Linked DNA regions of Saccharomyces cerevisiae S288C. The protein of the gene in region 4 interacts with the protein of the main gene of each other region in a biochemical or structural test. Each region holds a gene or a part of one and is shown on either strand. Other genes may lie near its edges.

The links.
Region 1: the proteins of NRD1 (region 4) and FCP1 are reported together in a solved structure, tested with the Saccharomyces cerevisiae proteins (one study listed by BioGRID).
Region 2: the proteins of NRD1 (region 4) and MPP6 are reported together in a solved structure, tested with the Saccharomyces cerevisiae proteins (one study listed by BioGRID).
Region 3: the proteins of NRD1 (region 4) and NAB3 form a complex in vitro, tested with the Saccharomyces cerevisiae proteins (4 studies listed by BioGRID).

What each region holds. Positions count from the first base shown.
Region 1 is NC_001145.3:818,292-823,019, reverse strand, and holds FCP1 (protein serine/threonine phosphatase), read right to left. Parts: upstream 2,765-4,728; coding exon 566-2,764; downstream 1-565. Other genes in the region: phosphoribomutase PRM15, read right to left, coding at 1-257; ubiquitin domain-containing protein DSK2, read right to left, coding at 3,072-4,193; ubiquitin-ubiquitin ligase BUL1, read left to right, coding at 4,439-4,728. UniProt on the Saccharomyces cerevisiae protein: Processively dephosphorylates 'Ser-2' and 'Ser-5' of the heptad repeats YSPTSPS in the C-terminal domain of the largest RNA polymerase II subunit (RPB1). This promotes the activity of RNA polymerase II.
Region 2 is NC_001146.8:670,453-673,496, forward strand, and holds MPP6 (Mpp6p), read left to right. Parts: upstream 1-1,956; coding exon 1,957-2,517; downstream 2,518-3,044. Other genes in the region: SNF12 (Snf12p), read left to right, coding at 1-1,666; Sar family guanine nucleotide exchange factor SEC12, read right to left, coding at 2,822-3,044. UniProt on the Saccharomyces cerevisiae protein: RNA-binding protein that associates with the RNA exosome complex. Involved in surveillance of pre-rRNAs and pre-mRNAs, and the degradation of cryptic non-coding RNAs (ncRNA) derived from intergenic regions and the ribosomal DNA spacer heterochromatin.
Region 3 is NC_001148.4:184,817-189,453, forward strand, and holds NAB3 (Nab3p), read right to left. Parts: upstream 2,910-4,637; coding exon 501-2,909; downstream 1-500. Other genes in the region: COA2 (Coa2p), read right to left, coding at 3,491-3,697; GUP2 (putative O-acyltransferase), read left to right, coding at 4,338-4,637. UniProt on the Saccharomyces cerevisiae protein: May be required for packaging pre-mRNAs into ribonucleoprotein structures amenable to efficient nuclear RNA processing. Binds to poly(A)+ RNA. Appears to act in the maintenance of CLN3 mRNA levels.
Region 4 is NC_001146.8:172,023-176,142, forward strand, and holds NRD1 (Nrd1 complex RNA-binding subunit), read right to left. Parts: upstream 2,294-4,120; coding exon 566-2,293; downstream 1-565. Other genes in the region: mitochondrial 54S ribosomal protein mL46 MRPL17, read right to left, coding at 1-264; RAD50 (MRX complex DNA-binding subunit), read left to right, coding at 3,388-4,120. UniProt on the Saccharomyces cerevisiae protein: Plays a role in sequence-specific regulation of nuclear pre-mRNA abundance.

The DNA.
Region 1 (4,728 bases), on a different chromosome or scaffold from region 4:
TAAGTTGCCAATCCCTGAGACGCTTGTATGACTACTAAAGTATTCATCCTGCTAAAGCCAGCTTGCATTTGCGATCTTAAACCAGCAGTGCCAAACTGAATTCTAGAATCAAATCTTTTGTGTAACTCATTCCAGTCGGATTTTTTGCAGAGAGCGGTGACCTCTTCTATAGTTTTTGGGTTGCGGTCTTGCTTAAACCATAATGATATCGGATCTTTCAAGTCAGATGGTACGGTTTCTAAAATTCCTTGCAACATTTTTTGAAATTGCAGCAGCTAATGGCTCGAGAGTACTGTTGAGTATTTAGGGGGAAAGGAGAAAGAATCAATTAGTTCTCGCTACAGGGAGAAAACAATACAATATATAATGTTCAAAAAAAAAAAACGAAATGAAATCAAAAAAAAAAAAAAAAAAAAAAAAAAAAAAAAAAGGATTTCAGGATATCAAAATAAGCAAAAATATTGTTGCTATTTATCGATTTGTTACAAACGTATATATAATATGAACAATTATAGGTACAAAGACCAATGAGGAAAATGTGTGGAAAGATACGGCATCTGAGCTGCTAATCATCCAGCATATCCATCAACTCTTCCTCCAACTGCGAATCGCTGTCTTCGTTGTCATCCCCTTCTCCTTTATGTTGTACAGGACCATCTTGAGAAGGTTCCGCCTTGGTCTTCTTTTGTGATGTATCATCATGATTGTCCTCGATGCTCCTCTTTCTGTCAATGCCTTCCGAGTTGTTTTCGTCATCACTTTCGTCGTCGTGGTCGTCATCTTCGTCGTCGTCGCTAGCTGTGTCCGGAATATCTTCATCGTCGTCATTGTTTAACCATGAAGTACCAGCAGCGAATAAATTTAGATTTTCTTGTGATGTCAACATATGCTGTTGTTCCTGGGTCTCCTCCAGATATTCTTGTCTTTTTTGTAATTGTGTTTGAAAGTTTTGTAATTCCTCGTCGGAGATGGGGCTGTCCACGATTAACGTGTAGGGTTTTTCATCCACCTTTTTCCAATTTACCAAACACTCAAATATCCAATCTGGGTGAACAATTTTAATCTGTGGGTTGAACTTTTTCGCTAGACGCGCTTTATAAGTGCTAGGGTTCTTGGTGATTAAATGTGTCGTCAGGTAATCTATATCTGGAGTGGAAGTGGCACCAAATGTACTCGTCCATATCACTATGTCCGACCTTTGAATATCGGTCCCGAGGGGTATTAATCCTGAAAAAACAAAATAGCAATTTTGGAAGACTTTTTGCTTCAAACTTGGTATGATTTCCATCAGATTTGGTTCTGGCTCATTTTGTTGTGAGAGCATATCATAATAAGTTTTGTGAATGTTTGATAGCGTACCCATTAAGTAGTATAGTTCATCATCGTCATCAACTAGTAGTTTTTGATCATGCAGGTGTTTTTGTAGTTTGGCCAAGGGTCGATTTTGTTGTTGGACTTCTAAAGATGCTGAATATTCTAGTTTCTTGGTCAACTCTTCTTTGGATTCGTTCGCAGGAGGCTCCTCAGCAGTCGCCAGTTGATGGTTCAATTTTTCTTCTTGGCGTTTAACTTCTTTATCTATCTTTTCTTGTAGTTTTTTTTCGTTATCCATAATATCCGTCAGCAGTTCCTGAGATTCTTGGCTCTTCTGTCTTGTCTTCCTCCCTAGTTGTAGCATTCCTGTAGATTGTTTGGGCAAGAAATTAGAATTAATGTCACCTACACCAACGAAGAAGTTATAAGGAACAACTTTGATCAAGTTTGGACACCAATTCCAAACATCACCTCTGTCGTCAATAACTACAACCATTGACTGGTCAGTGGGGAAAAGTTTAGCTAATGATTTAGTTGTTAGAGACCCATTTTCATCACGCGACAGAATTCTATCGCCAAACAATTCGCCCGTAGGGTCCACGATTTTGGCAATTTGCAAGGCATAAGCCCTTGTAGCCATTGTGTAGATATGCATTTCAAAAAGAGGCGCCACTTTAGCGAAAAATTCCTTTAAACCGGGCCTTACCTTCACGTAGTACCAACATTTTCTTACGGGAGGCGGTCTCAGCATAGAACCATCGTCATTCATGTACATAAGTGGGAGTACTAACTCCTCATCCAACGTAAAGCTCTTGACGTCTCTTAATGTTTCAAAATTCGGATTATTGGGGTCGTTCTTCCACTCTGCAATCGTAGGGTCCACGCCACAATGGATGATGGTTTGATCTAAATCCACCACTAAGATAAGTTTCTTATCCCGTCGCAAATGCTCCTTCAATGCCTTGCCTGTTCTAATGGCTTCTGTCTCGCTAATCTGTAAATCCACGTCCCCGACAACGTCTAGTGGTACACCATCGAAGGCATCTGCAGAAACTTCTTTCCCGCATTGAGTACATAGCCCGCCATACACGATGTCATGGTTACATGGCCTTTTTATTTCGCAAATCACTTGGTTAGCAGTGGCTACTTCATCTCCTACGTCTACATTCCAACTAATCAAGTCCCCCTCGTAGGGACTTTCGAAGAATTCTATGGATTCACGCAGTTGTTTGGTTGGCGGAGAGACACCATTACTTCCGGCGCTGCCGCCGGGGGAAACATCGTGCTCGTTATCATCGTCACCAGTGTCTGAGGCCCTTTCCACCAAATACCAGAACTTATAGACAAGCAACCTATCACCCTCATGAAGGTACGAACCTACGCTTGGAATGAGTTTATCGATCTGAATCGGATACGGCAAGCCTTGGGGAGACCTTATTTGTGTGGTCATAATCTGCTTTGCTTGTGTTTACACGTTCGCGGTCAATGCAAGTACCGCTATATGACTAAATACAGTACCCTGGCTGCTAATTAAAGGGGGAAGGGGTGATTGATTGGGATGATTAGCTCGTTGTTATTATGTGTTTATTACTGTAGGTGTGAAACGAAAATTTTTTTTTTTCTTTCGCAAGGGCGCGTCTTCCAAAAGTGTCCAGATATTATGATGATATTATTGATGGATACATGTAATACGTAGATTAAATATATGCCGATAGAGTAGGGTAAAAGTATATAGGTTGCGGCATCTAGACGTTTATTTAAACATCGCCGTTCAGTAGTGAATCAAGAGCGCCTTGGACGGAGCCACCGCTTCTCCTGAGGGCTGCGACGTTTCTATCGAAATCGAAGAAGCCCATGTCGTTTAGTTGTCTTAATTGATGTTCATAGCGTTCTTCCGGTGGTCTGGTGTCTTCTGCTTGAGATGCTTGTACAGGGGGTTGGAACATAGACGCTAGCAATGCAGGATCGAAGGCGGGCATCCCGGTGGATGCAGCGTTTCCCGCGTTAGCAAAGGGGTTTAATGCAGGGTTCAGAAGAGACGCAAATGGGTTTGCAGCTGTGTTAGCGCCTGCGTTGGTACCTGCATTAGTCCCTGCGTTGTTCCCTGTGTTGGATGAGGAAGTAGTGTTCGTGTTGGAGCCTTCCTCTGGAGCATCGCCACCAGGAGCGGGGAAGGCAGAGGCAGCCCCACCTGCAGAGCCCATACCGGCATTAGGGTCCATCATTCTTGCGAATTGCATGCTCTGTCTAATCATATCAGGATTGGTGAGCATCTGTCTAAACATGGGACTTTGTAGCATTTGCCTGGCTTGTGGACCCATGGCCTGCAATTGCGGGTTGGACTGGATCATAAAGTCCAACATCTGAGGGTTACTCAACATCTCGTTCATTTGCGATTGGAAGATGGGGTTTTCCATCATCCTCAACAGCTCGTCTTGGTTATTCGAGTCGTTGTTTAATGCACCACCGTCCGGGCCAAACATGTCTGCAGATGGCATATTCAAATATCCAGCGTATCTGGCACTGGTCAAGTCGGCCAGCGGATTGAAGCCTGCACTTTGACCTGACGACATGTTCGGGGTGGCGCCAGTGCCAGCTGCTGCACCGGTGGCGGTGGCGTTATTTGCGCCAGCGGCACTGGCGGTTTGTGGTTTGGGTTGTGACTTGACCAGATGGACGCTGTGACCGTCTTGAATGTGGTATGACTCCACGGTTTGGTCGTCCTTTAAAATCTTACCCGAGTAGATCAATCTCTGATTTGCCACCGGGATACCGTTCGCTTTGTTTATCGCCTCCTTGAATTGCAACACTGTGCTTTCAGGTGCCACATTTACTTCCCACTTGTCTTGTCCTGACTTGATATGTATATTCAACGACATTATCGTGCTAGAATGATTCGGTGTCTTTGATCCGTCTTATTTGCCTCTCGTCCATCGGTGGATTGAACTTAAAACTGGCTTTAAATTGTTCTTTCCCTTCAGCGGGCCGTGACCCGCTCTCAGAGGCTATTTTAATAATGATAAAAGTATTGCAATGAAGAGCCGCATAGTGATTATGGAAAGAAGCTCTTAGCAAGGGCGAAAAGAGACTGTTCGTGTGTGTCAACAGGTATATCGTACGCTAAATGGCCAAAGATTTGAACGATTCGGGGTTTCCACCGAAGAGGAAGCCTTTGCTGCGTCCTCAACGATCTGATTTTACCGCAAATAGTTCGACAACTATGAACGTTAATGCAAACACAAGGGGGCGTGGTAGGCAGAAACAAGAGGGTGGTAAAGGCAGTTCGAGGTCACCGTCGTTACACTCTCCAAAATCATGGATAAGAAGCGCGTCTGCTACGGGGATCCTTGGACTAAGACGTCCCGAACTAGCACATTCTCATTCGCATGCTCCTTCCACCGGAACGCCTGCTGG
Region 2 (3,044 bases), 500 kb from region 4:
TTCTAGAAAGAGTTCAAAAGCAGCCACACCTGATACTAAAAATTTCTTTCATGCAAAGAAAAAGGATCCGGTGAACCAAGATAAAGCAAATAATGCTTCTCAAATTACGCCAACAGTGCCACATTCTCATCCATCAGATATGGTTATCCCTGACCATTTAGCCGAATTGATTCCTGAGCTGTATTCTTTCCAACAACTGGTGGATTCCGAGAAAAGATTAGATCATTTTATTCATCTGCGAAACTTACATATGAAGCGAATGGTTGCGCAGTGGGAGAGGTCAAAGCTATCCCAAGAGTTTCTTTATCCTCATTTAAATTTTCCAAATGTAAAATTTCTCCGAATCTTCATTTCAAATGTTAGTGAAAACCAACCCTGGCAAATGGACACAAACAATGAGGCTGACCTTATGGCACTGGAGAATGCCACTTGGACGATGAGAATCGAAGGTCGATTATTGGACAATGTGCAAGCTAATGATCCAGCAAGAGAAAAATTTAGCTCATTCATAGAATCGATAGTGGTAGACTTCAAAAATAAGGAAAACGATAATGTGCCATCGACTAAATTTAATGCGGCCCCTGAAGAAAATGCCACCGAAGGACCCAGTGATAAGAAATTGAACTTAAACTTACCGTTACAATTTTCACTGCCGAATGGTGACAACTCTACTACGACTAATACCGACCAAAATAATGCCACGATGGGGGAGGAGACTGCCAAAAAGGATATGAGTTCTACAACTCCAAAACTAGAATCAGTGAAATGGCAGTATGACCCGAATAATCCTGTAGACTTCGATGGTCTCGATATTAAGAGGGTAGGGTCTGAAAATGTAGAATGCACTATAAGCATCCTGCGAAAATCATCCCCAGAAGAGCCATTTATGAGCTACTCTCCACAACTAACCGCAATAATAGGATTGAAGAGCGGTACATCACATGATGCAATATTTTCCATATATAAATACATCCATTTAAATGAATTGCTTACCAATGATGAGTCTGCATTCGAAAATTTGATGGGCAACAGGAACAATCACAATAGCAACACCAGTACTAGTAAGATGCTTGATGCAGCCTCCAGTCAAGTTTCTATTGTAAAATTAGACACTCAGCTTATTACCTTATTACCCAGCAGTCTTAAAGAATCTTCTCCAGATACAATGAAATTAACGGATTTACTGTCCCTTATTAATAGTACTCACCTGCTCCCATTACAGCCAATTGAAATTGATTACACAGTACGCGTTGATAAAGCTTCCACTTATGGTGAGTTGGTTCTTGATATTGAAGTACCTGATGTCAACGCTCTAAAATTCAATAATACACAAAGAGAAAGTCAAATTGGGGCTGCTGAATTGAATGAAAATGCCAGGGAATTGGAACAAATCAAACCCAAGATAGCTTTACAGGACAAAGAAATAACGTCCGTTCTCTCGAATCTACACGAGAGCAACAAACGATACCGTTTCTTCAAGAAAATTAGTGAGGACCCAGTTAAAGCATTAAATGAATGCATTGCTTCTACCTCGAATGCTTTGAAAGTTTTATCGGGAGATGAGGGCTATAATGAAGATATGGTAAGGCGGGCTAACTTTTACAAGGAAAATGAAGCTATGTTGCGCGAGAATATAGAAGTCATATTATCAAATGGACGAATGTAGGCTTCTTTACATTGATACACAATAGACTGAAGATTTATGTAGTTTTCTTTGTATATAAACTCTAGATAGGAAAAGAAAGGTCACCATTCATTTATAATAATTAAAGACGAACAGACAATGCTGATTTGTTTATAGCGCCTACAAGTAATGGCGGCTGTCTGATTCCATTGTCTCTTTCTAAGAAAAGCGCTGAAAATTTTCTACTGGAAATTTCAGAATATGAAAAAGTAGTAGAGATGAGGGCCACTTAAACACAATAAGCATATAAGGAACCAAGGGAAAAGCAACAAATGAGTGCTAACAATGGTGTCACTGGCAAACTCTCTAGTAGAGTCATGAATATGAAGTTTATGAAATTTGGTAAGACGGATGACGAAGAGAGTTCCAACTCCAATACGCCGTCTAATATCAACTCAGATGTGGAACCTATAGAGCAGAAAGGTAAACTCTTTGGTCTGGATGACTCAGCGTGGGACCTCAATAGCTACAAAGATGATTTAAAAAAAATTTCAGGTAAGGAGAAGAAAAAGGTGAAAAGAGTAGTATATAAGAAGCGACCCAATCTCATAATCTCCAACGTTGGTTACAGTGAACTGCGAAAACCTGAGGGTGTGATAAGTGGGAGAAAAACCTTTGGCGATAATTCTGATGATAGTGGTTCCAGGAAGAGAAAGTTTGATGAAGGCGAACAAAATGAAGACGAGAAAAGGGATGCTAAGGATAAGGAATTTACAGGGAGCCAAGACGATGGAGAGGATGAATATGACCTAGATAAATTATTTAAGGATAGCATCAAAAAGAAAAAGACCAACCATAATGGTAAAAATAAAAATAGAAATTCAAAAAAGTAGCGCAGACAATGCACCAGCAGAAGTACGTATTCGTATATAATAATGAGAACATAATATAAAGCATTGTGTAGTATTTTTTTCGTATTTGTCATAAACCATAAGGACTGCCGTCCTTTCTATTACGCTCAATTCCAAAACATATACAAAAACATGTAAATACACCACTTCTAATTTATCAGATAAATCTCTATCATCAATATCATTGAGATCGTTTTTGTATCTTTGCGTTTTTTTTCATAGCTTGAGTGTCGTCACTCTCCTTTTCGCTACTTCATTATTGCTACCTCATAACTTTCTCTCAAGCTCAAGCATCATCTATTTCTCGAAAAGTTGCGTTGGTGATCTCAAACTCTGCCCCTCCAGTATTAATAATGTTACTTTCAGTACATAAGACTTCAGTTCCATTCACAGAACTCGTCTCATGCACGCCATGCACTTTTATGGAATCTACGCTAGGTACAGATGTTTTTGTACCGTGGTTGCCAAACAAAGTTGTTTGATGTAAGTCTTCATCAACTACGTAGGGC
Region 3 (4,637 bases), on a different chromosome or scaffold from region 4:
AAACTAAAATAAACGACAGGCAGATGACTAAAACAAATCAAACAAGAACCTCTAGGGAAAGGTGTCCTAAGCGCGGAACTTCTTTTCGTTATGGGGTAAATAGAGCGGTACTTAATAATCTGTTTACAAAGCAATTTTACAAAGTTTTGATATAAGAACATTTAACTAAAGAGAAGAAAAAGAAATGAAAAGCCATTCTCTTGGCAGAGGAAACAAATGAAGAGGTGCGTGTAAGTGAAATAAATAGACCAAATAGCATTTGATAAGGAAGAAATAAAAGAAATTTATAACAGGGTAAAGAGTTTTTCGTTCTGAAAGAGATGCAGCAATAGTAAGAATTAAGTCCTAGTCCAATTTGGGAAGGGAAAACGATTAAAGCATAAACCGCTATGTCGAATTTATGCAAACCATATCAATCTACTTTCCTTAAAAATTTTTCGTCCAATTAAAAGAATTCAAGTATAATGTACAAGAAATGGAAAAGATTGAAAAAAGGGAGTCTATTTTTGTAGTTTTGCTAAACTATCTAATAGACTTTGAACATTATTGCCAGCAGGTTGCTGTTGCTGTTGCTGTTGCTGTTGTTGTTGTTGTTGTTGTTGTTGAGGTGGCGGAGGTTGGTGTGACATTGGTGGGGCAGAGGGTTTTGCAGATATATTTTGACCATTGTAATTGGTACTCATAGGAGGGGGAGAGGATGAGTTCATAGAGGAATATCCACCCAACTGTTGTTGCTGTTGTTGAGGAGCCTGGCCTTGCATTGATTGTATTAAACCAACCAATTGCTGCTGAGCATGAGGTTGTTGTTGCTGTTGTTGGGCCATTGAAAGCAAATTCGATACAACGTTAGGTGGAAGGTTTTGAATGGCAGATAATAGTTGTTGCTGGTCCATTGGAGTTTGAGAAGGTGGTTGAGGAGGCGGACCAGCCTGATAACGACCATACCCTTGAGGAATTTGTTGTTGTGGAGGTGGTGGTGGAATAGAAGTCTGGTAGCGACCGTAGCTCTGATTCATTGGAATTGGAGGTTGAGAACCATATCCTTGGTCATGGGATGGTGGTGGCATCCCATAATTACCATATGGCTGTTGCTGTTGTTGTTGTGGAGGAGGCATACTGTAACCCTGGTAATAGTTTGTTTGAGGAGGAGGTCCGACAGCTGGGCCGTTTGGAACAGGAAGAGGAGGAGCGCCATATATGTTTTGCTGATGGCTCATAGCACGGTAATCAGTAGGACGAGAATTATTTCTGTTGTTTTTGATGTTATTAAAAATGGCAACTGCGTCATCAGCGGATATGCTAATATATTCATCAAATTTCGTTTCACCTTGTGAGCCTTTGTAGAAAGTTTGAACATCTACATTGTGTGTTTTATTAACTAAAACAACGCCCCACACCCCATTATATGCGGCATCATTGATAAGCTTTCCCAGTTCCATTCTTGGTTTCAAGAAAATCATATCAGTTTCCAAACCAGTCCCGTCCCTAAACCTGTTGAAAACCTCAATGGCATACGTACGATCTGCGGTTCTTTTAACGAAAATGTTGCAAGAAACGGTGTGTCTTCTGGATTTCTTGTAGCCAGCACCATTGTCGTCATTGTACATGTCACCAGATTCAGTTTGAAATGGTCGTTTTGCGGAAGAAATAAAAGTAGAACTACTGTTTGTACCGTGATCACCATGATCAAATTGAGGACGAGCATTCGAGCTAGAAACTTCCAGGATCAACTTTTTGCCAAAGTTCATTTCTTGAGACTCGCATTCAATTGCATCTCTAACGCTTTGAGGGTTGTCAAACTGAATGAATCCAAAGGCATTTTTGATATTGATTTGCATGATATGACCGTATGGAGAGAAAATCCTAAATAAATCCTCCTTAGAAACGTTCTTTAGCGGCAAATTACCAATGAATAATCTTGACTTCGGAGGAATATTGTGCATCTCGGTGATTTTATTTTCACCGTGCAAATAGGCTGCATAACGGTCGTGTTCTTCTTCGGTAATCGGCTTAGATAAATCCGCCCTAGGAAATCTCATACGTCTTTGGGCATCTGACAATGGAGGTTTTCTTTGATCATTGCTTCTTGCGCCGCTTGTGGCTGAGGCGCTAGCTGTTGTTGAGATAGTACTATCATGAGGAGGTACGGAAAGAGCTGTGTCAGAATTTGAATTTAACATTGCTAAAATCGCAGACATCTTTTCTTCTTGAGGTAAATGTTGAAACTGAGGCAAATTTAGCATGTTACTGTCCATAATGTACTTGACTTGCTTTTGTAAAAGATCGTAATTAACATTTTCCATATTAGTTGGAAAGTGAGTATTATCATTTTCTTCACGAGTTATTTTTTTTATAGCTTCATCTACGTCCTTTTGTTCTTTTTCCAATGTTTCACGGCGAAGTTCGACCTCTTTATCTTTGGTTTTATCCTTTTTGTCTTCCTCATCCTCACCGTCTTCAGCGGCACTATCTGAGCCTACCGAACTGTTGTCGTTGCCTTCTTCTTCTTCTTCTTCTTCTTCTTCTTCATCATCATCGTCGTCATCATCATCATCGTCATCATCCTCTTCTTCCTCTTCTTCCTCTTCATTATCATCATCGTCATCATCATTTCCGCCTTTTTGTTGATGTTCTTCTTCTTCTTCTTCTTCTGTGTTTATTACTTCCCCGTTTTCCTCTCCTTTTTCCTCCTTATCTTCCTCCTCTTCATCGTTCACATCTTCCAGTTCGTGTTGTTCTTCATTTTCCTCCTCCCTTTCGGCTTCTCTTTCTTCCTCTGGGGCGTCAAATTCGATTCCATCGTCTGCGCTTGAGTTATTCATCAATTCATTCTCGTTAGAGTTACTATCGACGGATAGTTCAGGTGAAGGAATATCTTGAACATCACTGTTATGGTTTTCATCTGACATGGCTTGCAGATGGTTATTATATTATGAAAGGACAGTCCGGGAAAAACGTAAGTCAATTATTATATTTTGACCAAAGAAAATCGCTTGTTGCTGTGCAGAATCTAATAAAGATGCTCAAGATAGCTTTTATTAGACCTTCATTTAGAAGTGGCAAAATCAAATGAATTGTTTTTTGTCCTTTGCTTCTTCCGCTTCATTTTCTCTTCAACAATTCAGGGTTACACTCAATCACGTGGGATACCATAATTTATCGTTCTACAAAAAAATGCAAGCACGAACTAGGGCGGTAGTTAGGAAGCGAATAAGAATAGCGCTTTTTCGTTTCAATTTGGAATATTAAAGAGTGATATTATTAATGGTTTTCTTTTTTGGAATGTGATCTATATACATATTTAAATAGTCTCTTTTGTATTTGTGGTGTCATAATGAAACTGCATCACACCAGATGCTTACCCATACAGAAAGTCGATTGATTATGAAACTTGAAGTAGCGAAGATTACGGCACTCGAAAATAAATAAAAAGAGGAAATAAAAGAGATAGAATACAACTTATCAAAAGTTCCAGATAGCCCGTACCTGTTTAAATCTTTTTACTTAAAGCATCCTTCCTCTTTAACTCCTGCTCATGAGCAAGCTGAAGCTTGTGTTGCTGTACAGCTGGTGAATCAGAATCCACTGAATGTGCTGGACATGGCAGCACAGAACCGATGGCCACTGATGCGAATGCAATGAGAAATGTAGAAAAGTATAGGTTATTGACTATTTTGTTTCTAGTGACTGCTCTCATGATATGTGTCTGAATTAAACTAATTGGCCTTCCGTGCCTGTAAATTCAATAAATAAATAGGATGTTAAATTTTCCTAATGTGTCTCGAGGTGCTTATGTTATCGTGCAAGCGCTGAGTTCGAAACGCTGTTTTGATGAATATCCTATATATATCAAAAGTACAAACACGGGGAAAGAGAGCCATCCCATCAAAAAAAATAAAAAAAGAAAACCCTTGCAGAAGGAGAACTGGTGTAGAGGTTTCCGGTCTTAATGGACTTAAGCACGTGACTTTTAAAACCCATGCATCGGTTACTATGGTTACCATTACTTACGATTTTTTTTTTTTCGTTATGAACCCTGTGCCCGAGGGGTTTTCAGGCACATAGATCAAAGTTCTACTCGTTTACCTGTAATCTTGGCGCGTTTAGGTCTCTTTTTTTTTCTTTTTTTTTTCTTCTTTTTTCATTTGTACTGCGTTATAGTTGTTTATGGAAGGTACCAATGGTGAATATGGAAAAAATGAAGTCAAATAGAAGAAGAAAGAGAAGCTAGCTTTGAGGTAGGTACTGTTTTGAGGGTTTTTGGGTGCTTCAAATTTGTCTTCTCAACTACCTTATTATAGGGCTCAAAAATAATTGACGTCATCGCTACAAGTCAGATGTCGATGTTAAGAATCTGGAGTTGCATCGTACATTTCTTTTCCGTGCAGGCACTTGATTCACGAATAAAGCCAGACATTGAATTCAAAAGGCGACAAAGGATATTTATCAATTCATCTAAAGAAGAGAATGGTTCATCTTCTAGTGCCGTTACTGTTACCCGTAACCCTGTGCTCAGCTCTAATAGCCCATCTCCTCCGCTATGGAATACATGGGAATTTAGACTATATTATTTGGCGTTCACCGTAGTAGTTCCTTTCATGATAAAGGCGGCATTGGCTACGAGCTCCGAGTCTAAT
Region 4 (4,120 bases):
GGAGATAGGTCCTTTCTGCAGGGATAGAAATTTGTGTTCTGCTACAGTACCCTTTTTGAAATAAAAATATGCCGGAAACGTCCACATTAGTCTCTTTTCTAGTTCTGATTGGTACTCATAGTATTTTTTCTCTAGTTCATTTAATTCTGATTTAATTATAGGGATTCTTGACAGTAGTACTCCGACTTTAATCTTGGGGGGAGCGGAACTGGCAGTTGCAGTTGCAGTAGCAAGCCCTCTTTTCAACATTAAATTTACCTTCATGGTACTGGATAAGCGCTTATGATTACGTAGAATATAAAGTTTATTGATTGTTTAACTGTTTTCTTTCCTTTTTTTTTTTTCATTTTCATTTTCATCTAAACCTTGAAAAAAAACCAGGAATACGGTAAAAAAAGAGAATAAAGAATAGGATAATGCTACATTTGAAACACAGTAGTTATGTGAATACATAAGGATGTCCATTTAACAAAAAAAAAAAAGGAACATAGGAAAAAACAGAAATTATATATAGAGGTAGATTAGTTTTATGTACTATGAGCAAATAAAGGGTGGAGTAAAGATCTTAGCTTTGTTGTTGTTGCTGCTGCTGTTGGTTAAGCATATTCATCAAAGAATTCAATTGAGCAGTGGGGTCAAATTGTTGCTGAGGTACAGGGGGAGCCGCTGCGGCAGGTCCCTGAGAAGGTAATGGTTGGTTGGGGGCATAACCATACGGTTGCTGCATCATAGGTTGCACATATTGCTGTGGTGGAGGAGATGCCAATGGTGCATTGCCGTAGGGTACTGGAGATATCGACGATATGCTACCAGATTTGTTAGGTTTACCAGAACGTGGCCCATTTCTGCCAGAATCAGTAGGCATCTTTTGAGATATTGCCTTGGAAGAAACACCTTCACCAACGATAATATCCGGTTCTTCGAAAACAATACCGGTAACGAGAGGTTGACCAGAAGTGCCACCCCATTGCGCACTTACTGACCATTTTTTATCAGCGTCCGTGAGCCTGTGCATAGGAATAATACTGTAACCGTGTTGATAGTCACAACAATCTCTTGGACCAAAACCAACTCCCCACCTAGTTCTCAATGGCAGGGCTCCATCTTTATTGAAGTTTTGCAAAACATTTTCGGCCTCATGTCTTGAATAAACTTTCACAAAAGCGTGTTTTCTGGAGTTATTCAGAATGACGCTTTGTACTTCAGCAAAAGGTTTTAAAACGTTAGCAAGGTCCCATTCCTTCATGTTTAGTGGTACCCCACCGATGAAAAGAGTACGGCTGTAGACTTTAATATGATCTGGTGGCAATGTAGAGTCGTAACTTACTGGTTTTGGTCTATAATGAGGATTATTGGAAACATTAAGCTCATCGGGGTATAAGTGGTGATTGTTTGTGCCAAATGTCGTATTGGGGGCGCCTATGCTGTATTGGTCCTGGGCCACAGATGGATAGCGGTCCTTCCTGCCTGTCGATGGCTGAGAAAATGGTGCCGGAGGAGATCTTGATCTATTCCTTCTTGAGTTATATCTTTCTCTTTCACGTTCACGTTCACGTCTGCTACCATATTCGGTAATTGTATGGGCTTGGGGAGGTGCGACTGTACCCACGGATGTATGTGAAGGCAAAGTTTTAAAATGTTTCTGCAGAGCCGCTATTACTTGGAAAAGAGCTGCTTGCTGTTTGGCTGGATCTGTGGAAGTCAAATCAGTTGGAAGACTTATGTTCAAGTTTAAAGGAGGACTTTTCTTTAGATTTGACAAGATTTGTTTCGACCTCTGCTTGGGATCCAGTGATAGTTGTTGTGAAGCGGTGTTCGCGGTGTTATTCGATATGTCCATAGCAAAGCATTTTGACCTGATGGCGTTCAAGTAACTCTTTTGAAACAAGCCGGACCTGTCCCAAATGTCTAAAAGCATACGAATTTTTTCCTTGTGGTCTTGATTACTTTTTGCAATAGCATCGGATAGCAGTTCTTGAATTACTTCGCCCAACGTGTTTATGGCATGGGCACAAGTACCGGGTTTGTTGCTGCTGCTGTTTGAATTTGATCTTGTTTCATCCAAGTAAGCTCTACCTATTGAATCGATGATATATAAAGAACCTAATTTATGAGAATCGGGACAAAGTCTTGAGTAGTCTATTATCAAAGATATGATTTTCGATTCAATATCAATGTGATCAAGTGCGTAAGTGGTTAGTTTCTTAATACGAGAACCTGAAATACCAGATTTCAAATCTTTGAATGATTCCAAGGTAGCTACAAAATTTTGAAAATCGTCGTCCTGCTGCATTATGGGATGTTTAGTATGTTTGTTGCTTTCCGGTTCCTTTCCTGTAACTCGTGCTTGGAGAAAAGTACTAGAAAAAATGTGTAATCAGAGAAAACTACAATACAAAAAAATAGACAATAGTATATTTTTCTTTTGCTTGAAATTATAGGTTGTAGCAATGGATACGGTAACGTAACTAATTGTAAGAAGAGCCTTGATTGGTGAGTTAGTTGTGTACAATACGATAATACGATGCGATACGATACGAAAACGATACAATAAGGTTGCCGAGTACTGACTTTTGATATGTTAAAAGCATGAAACTCGTAAAGGGAAGGAGCGGGGAGTCATGCTAACGAGGAATGGAACATGGAGGAAGGACGAAACACTTGCCCTTTTATACTTTTTCTTTTTCACCTCCTCCGCTCCGACCGGTGGCAAAAAAAAAAATCAAAAATGTACCGTATGTAATGACCAATAAATCACCAAAGACGAAACATTTATTTTTGCCGCCGACTTTCCAATGAATTTGCTCAATTTCAGGTTAGTGGTCATAAGGATATCTAACAAGCCATCAAAAGCATAATGTTTTTGAGTACTCGATAGAATTATGTATTGCGGACTTTAGTAGAATAGGAAACAATGCGCTATACGTGCGCAGTAGCTCATTTCGACCATAAACTAATTGTAGATTTTTTGCGTTTCTGGTGCTATTCATTGAAACAAGAAACCGATAGTACTTCCACTTACAATACTAATACTTGCGGTAATGTTACAATCCTTCACTTATTATTTTCGGAGAATAATAACCATGCATCTTGCAATACTTTCACGGCTTTGCCTTGTCTCGTGCGCTAGTAACTGCAGTAGAACCCACCCATATGACAATGCAAATATTAATCTAACTTAGTCAAAAAAAAAAAATGCCTTCACCTCGTTTGTCTTCATCTGAGATAAGGTTCCGGTTTTCATCTTGTCCCTGTTTGTTGCCTTTGTTCTTGCCTCATCGCTTCTAAAGCGGCTTTCAAGCTTTGATCTTTAAATGGAAATCTTTAATTCTAAGAAGTGGTAGCAACCATTGAGAGGCAAAAACAAGGGAACGACGGAAAGCAGGCATGAGCGCTATCTATAAATTATCTATTCAGGGCATACGGTCTTTTGACTCCAATGATAGGGAAACTATTGAATTTGGCAAGCCTCTGACTTTAATAGTCGGCATGAATGGTTCAGGTAAAACGACTATCATCGAATGTTTAAAGTACGCTACCACAGGTGATCTACCGCCCAACAGCAAGGGAGGAGTATTCATTCATGACCCGAAGATAACTGGTGAAAAGGACATTAGAGCTCAGGTCAAACTGGCGTTTACGAGTGCCAATGGACTCAATATGATTGTCACCAGAAATATTCAGTTGCTAATGAAAAAGACTACTACTACATTTAAGACTTTAGAAGGCCAGTTGGTCGCTATAAATAATAGTGGTGACCGCAGTACTTTGTCCACCCGGTCTCTGGAATTAGACGCACAAGTACCCCTGTATCTGGGAGTTCCAAAAGCGATCTTGGAATACGTGATATTCTGTCACCAAGAAGACAGCCTGTGGCCACTGAGTGAACCATCCAATCTTAAAAAGAAGTTTGATGAAATTTTCCAAGCGATGAAATTTACAAAGGCTCTAGACAATTTAAAATCCATAAAGAAAGACATGTCCGTGGATATCAAGTTATTAAAGCAATCAGTAGAACACTTAAAGTTGGATAAAGACAGATCGAAAGCAATGAAGCTCAATATCCACCAATTGCAAACTAAGATAGATCAGTATAATGAAGAAGTGTCTGAAATTGAAT